Drosophila melanogaster: one gene and its partner. The gene in region 2 interacts genetically with the main gene of each other region. Each region holds a gene or a part of one and is shown on either strand. Other genes may lie near its edges.

Region 1 (4,652 bases), on a different chromosome or scaffold from region 2:
AAATGATTTTTGGGGTTACACTTTTAAATTTTCCGGAAACGCCTCGAGCAGCATATGCGGTCCTCGGAAAATTCACTTAAAAATCCACTTAAAATTTTGCTGGGTATTGCACTTCACCTTTAAAGGAAGATTAAGCGGATGAAATAGGCTGATGTCACTTTACTCATAAGAGTTTGTATGTAAATAGAATGTTCGCGCCAACTTCACGAGTTTTTTTTTTTAGTGCGCTATCAATCTACCGAATATCATTTTACTGGTCTACCCCTTCTTGGCACCTGAGATATTGTTCCCGTTTTTGTCAGTTGTAGGGGGCCTCTATTTATAACTGAAACGGAAAAATCCATTAGAATATTGCCGCAGACAAAGGACTTTCCCCACAACCCTGCCCCACAAATCGCGGTGGGGGGTTTGTCGGGCGGGAAAGTGCGCAAAGTACCTGTCTGGGTGGGAAGATATAATACCTGGAGAAGTGCCAATCCCAAACGCTTTCCCACATAAACAAGCATTAGGGAACTCCGAGCTTAGCTTATGTGGCTGGCTGGCTAGCTGGAAAACTGAAGAGGACTGTGGGAGCGGGTGGATACGGGCAGTCACGCAAGGGGTCAGTGGGCGTGGCGGGGCCAACGCCCAAAGGTAAACTATTTTTGGGGAGCGAGGCAGTTGGTCATGGGGATAACTACTAACTAAATATTTAGCACGACACGCCTTTATTCTTTTGCACCCCTAATTGATTCAAAAACGAAATTTTATCCGCATTAAAATGGGGAGACACAGCGAATTGGTTTCGGGTACAGGGAAATTAGATCAGAAGGACGTGCGTGGCATTTAATGGCCTTACCAATCAATCAATCCCAATAAACTTACAGCATTCTCTGCCACAAATGAGTCAGCAAATAGCATCATTATCAACGCATGAAGTTCGCCATCGGGTGTTCGTTCAATCAATATGCAAATAAATTTGTTGTCATATCCGACAGCTATCTGTTGATGCTGACAATTATAACAACTGTAAGTACAAACACAAATATTAATAACCCCTAGCCAGAATCAATAAAGAATCTCACACTCATGCGAATATTGGGCGAGAGAGAAATTTGGAAATTAATGGCCAATGGCCTAAGAATACCAATTGTTAGCCGAGATGCGAAAGCACTCATATAATATTATTAACAATAATGAACTTAATTATGAGCACACATGAACATTAAGTAAGTGCTAATTAAGTATCAATTTAGATGCTAAGTTTATGAGATAAATCAGTTTAGTTCTATTAAACTGTTGCCATTAGTTTAGTAAGCGATCTAATATATACAATCTGAAGATAAGCACATCGTTGGCGACATACAAAAGATTTTGTATTAAATAAAAATAATAAAATGAAGTAGATTAATACAAATCGGTCTTGTTTATTTGCTTATCAGTACAGTTGAATTTGAAATGCCAAAGCTAGACCGCCGATCATAATTCAAAATGCAGCACTGGCGTTTGGTCTTAATGAGCACTGGCTGCGGTGGTGGAAAATGTGAACAGCTGATACCACTGGCAGCGCTACGCAACACTCGACAGAATAACGAAAAGAGAGTACAGACGAAAAGCTGGAGAAAATTTGGTTCATATTTTCATACGTGAAACAAGATGTAAAACGAGTGCATTTAGGGCCCAAAATAGTGAAAACTCACACGGGAAACACAATGCTAGCGACGGATAGCAAAAGTAAGTGACGGCTGCACGAAATAAGCCGGAAAAGTGCATGTGAAAATTTTCAAATTCGACCTATCTGCTGGTTTGTTCAAGGGTGGGTGGCGGGCAGAGAGGCCGAGTGAGAGTACGCGAGAGAGGAAGAAAAATCAATAAAATTGTCGTGAGGCGCGATTGACTGGAGCAAAACAAAGTGCGACACGAAAGAGAGCGCTAAGCGGACTACGAAAAAGCAACAACAGAGCGGCCGTTAGCTGAACCAAATGCGTTGGCAGAAAAGAGAGGTCAGATAGTCGGTAGTTTCAAAGGGAGTTGGAGTAAACAAACAAGTGCGCAATAAGTAAACCAAGAACAGCTGTCTCGCACAAAATGTAAATATTTCCCGAATATATGGAATAATAACCACTATCGGTTAATCGCTTGCTCGCTATGTAGGCGTACGAATCGAATCGAGTCGGCGACAGAGGCAACGTTCATTCACTCGCGAAAAGTTAATACTCGCACCGAATACAATGATCGCACTTTTCGTGTGATTCACCTCCAGCGGCCGCTAATTAAGGCGGCGGCAGCAGAAATAGAATAGCTGCGAAAACAAGCCATAACGCCAACTGCACTGTGCGCGGTTGTGATTTGGAAGCCACTCAATTGAAAGTGTCAGTGCTGTGCAAATAAATCGCCAAAATATCTCACCTCCAATGTTCAAAAGATACAATATCTACAATAAGCACAGGTTCTATGGAAACATATGTTTAAATGCGAAGCGACACGTTTTGAACTGAAACCTGCATGAAAGTGGGAAAGTTCATTAAACTACAGCAGTAAAAAGTTTCAAAATACTATGAAATATCTTTTTACACCTTTATCGAATAATATATAATCTTTTTAAACGGCATAACATTGTAAACAAGTGAATCACCATTATTAAAACACATGTAGAAAGTGCCACCCCCTTGCAAAAAAATCAATGACATTCCTCATAGTACAGCCATTAGATTAGTCTTATATTTTGTATTAAGTCAACTTAATTTTCTCTCTTTTAGATTAATCTTACCGCAAATCAACAAACACAAAGATGAATGTAATGCGTAAGCTGCGCGGAGCGGCCAGCGCAGGCAGCGTCAGCGGCAGCAGTAGCGGAACCTCGACGGCGAACAACAGTTCACCAGGGAGCAGCAGAACGGATGCTGGTGCACCGACCGCTGCAAATGGACGGAATGCGGAGGAGGCGCTGATGGACGCCCGCGTCCAAGTGAGCCTCACCACGCTAAAGAAGCTATTCAACGAATACACTCATCCGCGGGAGCCGCTGAGCGAACAGGAGCGCGATGACAAGCTCTACGAGATGCTGCCCCTCTTCTGCAAAGTGAGTGAATCAGTCGGTATGGAGGAATAGGCCACTAACTCCCCATTCTTACAGGTCTTCAGCAGCTGTCCGTCAAACGACATGAGCGAAAAGTTCTGGGACGTGGTCGCCTTCTGCCAGCAAGTGTCCCGTCTCATGGTCAGCGAAATCCGCAAGCGCGCCTCCAACCAGAGCACAGAGGCGGCATCCATTGCCATAGTCAAGTTTCTCGAGGTGGAAACCACCGAGGAAACCAGCAGCGGATGGATGCTTTTGGCTACCCTCAATTTGTTGGCCAATGGAGACGTATCTCTCATACAGGTATGTTTCATTTATAAACTGCTATAGTATCTTATGGTAAAAATACATCGACGTAATCAAAACAAAAAATTTCAATAGCTACAATTTTCGTTAGGGAAAGTCGTCATCAAATTCACGAAGTTTTCTCAGTTCCAGGCTTCAAAGAGAATTCGATGTGTGAGTTCGTAGCTTCTTCATTTGTAATATTTGGGTTGGCTGCATCTGGAACTTGTTGTTCCTTTTCTCCCGCATCGCTTGGCTTATGGACCAATTCAGCATTGCTTAAAGTTCTGAGCCGAGAATAGCTAGAGCCCTGTTCTACCAGCAAAATCTCCGATTTCTCCCTTTTCTCAGTGTCCGCCCACATGGAAGATCGCCGGGCTAGCTTCCGATCCATTTGAATGGGTTTCATTGTGGCCTCGCTGTTCTCACTTGACCGAGTTGAAACAAGGCTAACAGTGCTCCTGTCCTCGATTTTGGCCCACAAGCTCGAGGAATCGCTGGAGCCGCGCCAGGCTGAAGCAGACCTGCGCATCTTATTGGCCTGCTCTTCCATGTACACACTGTACTCCGTGTCCACCGGTGTGATATCCGATTCACTGGTGGTTATTGTTGGCGTTGATAGAAAACTCTCGTCACTCTCGATCTGATGCAGCGAAAAGAACTTTTTACGCGCATCCCCAATGAACTGCCACATGCGGACTATAAAGTGCGGCTGCTCCACCTCCGCGTTCGGCCGGAAGTACAGGATCTGAGAATTGGCCAACTTATAGTAGCACCTGCAGCATTTGCATAGAAAGTCGTCCACTGGCTTGGAAAGCACAAATAGCCCGGTTGAACCAGACTCTGTTCCCTCAAAGTACTTACGGCCAGTCGCCTGACGTTTCCAGTCGCCGGGTTCCATGCGCATCAGCAGGTCGAACACGTGGAACATGTGCATCAGGTACATGGTGCCAGTAACCAGCGCAGCGATGCTCTGCTGCTTGCAGTGCGCAAAGTGCGGATGTTCCAGATACTCGATGGTAGAATTGATGAAGGCCAGGTGAGGGTCCAGCATGGCGGTGCGCATTATCAGCACGCCGCAGAAATAGTGCGACAGCACGGCACTCAGTGTGAGCAGGAGCTGGGAGGAGAGCACCGTACTCCTAGCCAATAGCAGTCGGAACGCGCCTAGAGCGGCGAGCGCCGTAAAGGACGAAAATGTGGCACAATATAGGATCACATGAGGAGTACGCTCTGGCCAGTAGGATGAGCCGCGTATGTGGAAAAACATACAAACACTGCCCAGCAACACCTCGATGAGTTTAAAAAA
Region 2 (4,916 bases):
CAGTTCTTTTTGCGATGATCAAAGTTCGCTGTCGGTGCAGAAATTGAATTTACTGTCAACAACAGAATAGCCCCGCCCCCCCCTTCCCATCCACCCTCACACAGATCACGATCATGAATGAAGAGGGGGGCTTCCCAGTGTTTTTTTTTTTTTTTTGACCGAACGAGGTGGTTACAAAACATCACACCACTACCGTCAGTCGGTCGGTTTTAGCTTAAAAAACCAGGCGAATTTCAGCAAAGTCGGAGGTCGAAGCCAAAGGCCGAGACGCACTTAAAATTATAATTAAATGCATTCCATTAGGTTGGGCAGACATCAGCTGATACACACGTCTATGTGCGCCAAATAAATATATGCATATGTATGCATGTATTTTTGCTTGTTATATACAACCACACGGAAACGTTGCAAATGCCGAAATTCACATTAAATACAAAAGGGCCAAGCAATCAGAGCAGTCAGTTAGCAGAAGCTAAACAAATAATCGCTTGGTAATCTAATCACTGCAAAAAAGTGACCCAAAACACCACGTGCACTGCAGCTGGTGATCCAATGCAATTGATTATGCAGCGCGTCTGGTTTCAGCCACTTCTTGATAAGGCCCAAAAAAGTGGGGGGGGGGTTGATAATGATAACAATGCCACTGGCAGAAATGGCAAAACAAAAACCTTGTGCGACCGACCATTGTTTATATGAGTTTTCTATTTCGCCTTGCGCTCGCAGAATTCTCAAAATAAACAATCAATTAGGCGCCCATGGAAATAATGAAAATTTCCGAGTGGCGAGTAGCGATGTGTGTTTATATTAAATATAATATGTAAACAGCGATTTTGTTTGGCTCGGTATGTAAGTGCTATCGCCCCTTTTCGGTGAGTAATTCCACTTCCTGTTCTGTTGCAAAAAGTCGTATGATGTTTTTTTAGTCACTCGATCCGGTGGCTTTACACGAATCAAAAGCTTATGATTTGCAACCGAAAAAAAAGGGTTGTAAGATCGATTTCCAATTGCCGCTGCGGCAATCAACTGATAACTAATAGCCAGTGATTTATAATTGCAAATTAATTGCAACTACACATACAGTAAAAGACGTTATCACATGGCCTTGAGTGGAAAAGTTCTGCTGACTCAGGAAGAACTGGCTGTTCAGGTTCACGAAGAAAATGCGAAACTATAGCTATAATATACACATATTTAGAAATGCATATTAAACGGTCGTCTGAGGCGGACTTGTACGTATAATAATCAGTCACAACTTGTTTCGCCATGTAACCTGAAACAAGTTTCCAATCGATTTGCACCGCGTTTTGTGTAACTAAGATGTCGCCAGTCGAAGTGCAAGTGCAATCGGTAGTAGTCTCATTTTCCAGACACAAGTAAACAGTGAAAAGAACTTCGGCACTCAACAAGTGTCCAATGAAATGCCGCCCGCATGAATTAAGATCAATTTCCTTCGCTAATGTTCTTAATAATAATAAACTCAACAATTATGTGGGCAGTGTGTCTGTATTTATCGACTGAAACATGAGATTACCCTGTAATTGTCACGCGGGCGGGGGACTTTCTGATCGCCGATCGCAACTACCATTACCCGCCGTGCTAAGCAGGTCAGGTGCCGCCACCGCCGTGCTCACTCACTCCATTTTATCGCACCTGAGTGCTAGAAATAATATACATATGTTTAGGTTTAGGCGAAATGGGTCTTGATTGATTGCCCACCCAGTGGAAATGTCCCGAGTTTCGGTGCAAAGCGAATCGAATGATAAAATGCTCTGTATGAATATTTTTGGATCGCGTGATTCACTTGTAAGTAGATTAGTCACTAATCAAATTCTCTCGCTCGCAATCTTTATGGTACATTTTGTAAACAATGGGAACGCGACGACTCGCATTGTCGACGATGAGGTATAAATTTCAACTGATTAGGTCACAAGTATTGTTGATTAGCGGCTGCTAATTAATAACATTATGATTTTGTCAGCAGATTTTGTGCAATTTAAATGTTTTTATTATTCTTTTGCCTGATATATAAATGAATACATACTATAAGTGCTTTGGGCTGCCCAATCTTTTGGTCACACAAAAGTTGTGATTTTTACAGCGGTCTATAGCAATCTTCTTCAATAGTGTCAACAAATTTTCCTATCTACTGCGGCAACAAGCCCCCCAAAAAACGTATGGAATCCCATAGGACACCCAAAGAGGTATCACCGGACTCACCTGCGATCGTAAAGCGATCCATGTAGTTGATGAGGTTGACGAAGCATAGCACGGTAACGGTGAACCACTGCGATCTGCCCACGCTGGAGAGACGCGATGGCACGACGGCGGATGGTGGTATGCCCGGGATGTGGTGGTGCTCGCCCAGTGGGTGGTGGTGATGGTGGTGGGGACGCAGTCGGTGCCGCTCCTCCTCCATGCTGTCCGTATCCGAGGGCATCAATTGCTGTGACGAGTAGGTCGTAGGCAGTCCGAGCGGCGATAGATTGGCCACATCCTCACGACTCCCGCCCTCCTCAGAGGAGCTGCTCCCACTGCTACCGCTGCTCTGGATCATCGCCGGATTGTCCATGGCGGCCGCCGTTGGGAGCGGTTGGTAGGATTGCTTCTGGTGTTTCAGCGACATTCACCCGATCACTCGATCCTCTCTTCTCTTCTCGCGCTCTCGCTGTCCTCTTTCGGTTGGAAATTCGCAGCAGGCGGACAACGCGGCAAAAAGTTATTTGCACACGCTCTTTGCTCACGCACACAGAGAAACGGGAACTCGCGATGAAAGCGGTTCAAAAGCGAATGCAAAAGAATTTGCTCTTGGGCTGTTGGCACACCACCGCGCTTCTCTTTTATAACACTTTTGCCAATTTGTATGGCTAATTCGACTGTGTACTGAGACACTTCCTCTAATCGCGGTTGTTCTTTAAATGCAGCCAATGCATTTGCAGTGCTTCTCGCTGTTTTTCTTTCTTGTTTCTTCCGCGACGCGAACACTGTTGCCTTTCCAACTGGAGTAAGTGCAATAAGTGTGACCGTCCGGCGACCGCGAATATATACCAGAATCCAATTGGCGATGACAATTTCGATAGTACTATCGATAAACTAAGACCAGCTGCATATCTATCGACTAATATCGGTATAGCTATGCCTATCGATAAAAAACATTTAAAGCAATTTTTAATAAATATTTTTACATTTAATACAAAAACATGAACAAGAATCTATATTAACAAGCTAAGTTGCGCTCTGTTAATTAAAGAATTTTTATTTTGCCATAATATTCTGAGCATTACAGATAGTGTACCACTTATCTCTAGAAAACTGTTGACAACCGAATTTGAATTCAAATTTAAGCGATGATTTTTTGGTTATGATTGTGATGATTAAAATCTAAGTGCGTTACGAAGGTATATGCGAATGAAAAAGAACGATTTCTATTCAATATCCATATCATCTACGCGCCCGCGAACGCGATTCTTGCGCTTGTGTTTTTTAGTGGGCGGTGGCAGGAAACTCTCAAGAAACTCAATGGTATTCAAAATCGTTTCCGAACTGACGTTTCCAATGTAGTTCTTGTCGAAGTAGACGACCGGTACAGGTGGCTCCGTTGAGAGCAACAATTTGTCACAATTACAACGCTGTCCCTGAATTTTTGCATCGAGCGTTTCCACTTCAACATCTGTGTTATTTGATTTGTCTGGAAAGAGGTGCCTAAATAGGTCAATCTATGTCTGAACTCCATAAAGAGTTGCCACCCACCGAATAAGGGACGAAAGCACTCCTTCACCTGAATCCACTTGGTGCAAAACTGTTTGATGAAACTGTCGTTCTGATTGAAGAAACTGCGAGCTGCATTGTCAACCCGGTATTTCATGAATCCAGGCACATATGGCCATTTGCCCTTCGCGGCATAAAAGCATATGATGTCTGAAATGTAAAAATTTAAGCGATTTGTAATTCTGCTAGCCTTAATAAAAGTATTCATATGCTTGAGGAGATAAAAATTTAAATATTTTAGTTGCTAAAGAAGTTTATTCATTGTTTCCTTGCGACATATGATAAATTGTGAAAAAGTATAGCATACTTTTAGGCTTAGCCGTATTCGTCTCTTAAAATGATTTCAATGCGTTGTGGATGTCTTTTAAACTGAAAAGAACTATTGTAAATTGGGAAGATATCACACAGAAACCTATGTTCTAATCCTTGTTCAAAATACAGAGATCTTGATCTAGAACATTCTAGTTAAATGTGGAAAAACTATGGCCCATTCTTGTATATAACACTTTCGATTGCGAAATAGATTGCTTAACTTACAGGGCACATGGAAGAGATGAAGAAAAGTGCGCTGATGCTCCAGACTGGAGATGAGATGAATACCGCTGGACCGCCGATTGGCCAGGGCCTTTCTTCCGGCAAAGGGAATCTCATCCACGCGGACACTCTTCAGATATGCCTCGCCCATGGTGAATAGAAATATGGCTAAAAATAGGGGCAGAATATGCAGAGCGATTTTCCGACGCAGCTCCATTGTCGAACTTTCCACTAGCCAGCAATAAATGTGACTGACGAATGTCCTGCAGGAATTGTCAGACACCTGAATGATTTCACTGCGCTCTCTATTGATTTTAATTGTGCTCGAGGTTGACATAAATCCAGGCAATAGGGATACATTGCATGTGCTAACCCAATTTGCCAGCCACAAAAAGTTCATTGCACTCAAAGTTACATTTGTGGAATATACATGACAACAAACATCATACATACAACAAAAATTAAGTCACAGGAAATGCAGTATGCAAATCATGAGTCATTAGCTAATATTTATATTACTCAATATAGACGAGATAATAATCAGCAGTCACCTGTCAGAACAATTCACTCCGATCTATGAATAATCAATTGATTTACAATTGCAATCCATCTGAGCG

What was found. Genes that interact genetically often act in the same process or in processes that back each other up.
Region 1: of spin (region 2) and bchs, changing one enhances a phenotype caused by changing the other (phenotypic enhancement), as found in Drosophila melanogaster (one study listed by BioGRID).

What each region holds. Positions count from the first base shown.
Region 1 is NT_033779.5:5,905,575-5,910,226, forward strand, and holds the start of bchs (blue cheese), read left to right. Parts: upstream 1-1,594; 5' UTR 1,595-1,713; intron 1,714-2,738; 5' UTR 2,739-2,770; coding exon 2,771-3,061; intron 3,062-3,115; coding exon 3,116-3,361; exon of another isoform or gene 3,362-3,473; coding exon of another isoform or gene 3,474-4,652. Other genes in the region: CG14000 (uncharacterized protein), read right to left, coding at 3,474-4,652.
Region 2 is NT_033778.4:16,123,084-16,127,999, reverse strand, and holds the start of spin (spinster), read right to left. Parts: upstream 3,020-4,916; 5' UTR 2,624-3,019; coding exon 2,218-2,623; intron 1-2,217. Other genes in the region: CG30095 (uncharacterized protein), read right to left, coding at 3,423-3,685, 3,748-3,915, 4,303-4,516. UniProt on the Drosophila melanogaster protein: Probable sphingolipid transporter that plays a central role in endosomes and/or lysosomes storage. Involved in TGF-beta-mediated synaptic growth regulation both pre- and postsynaptically via its function in endosomal storage regulation.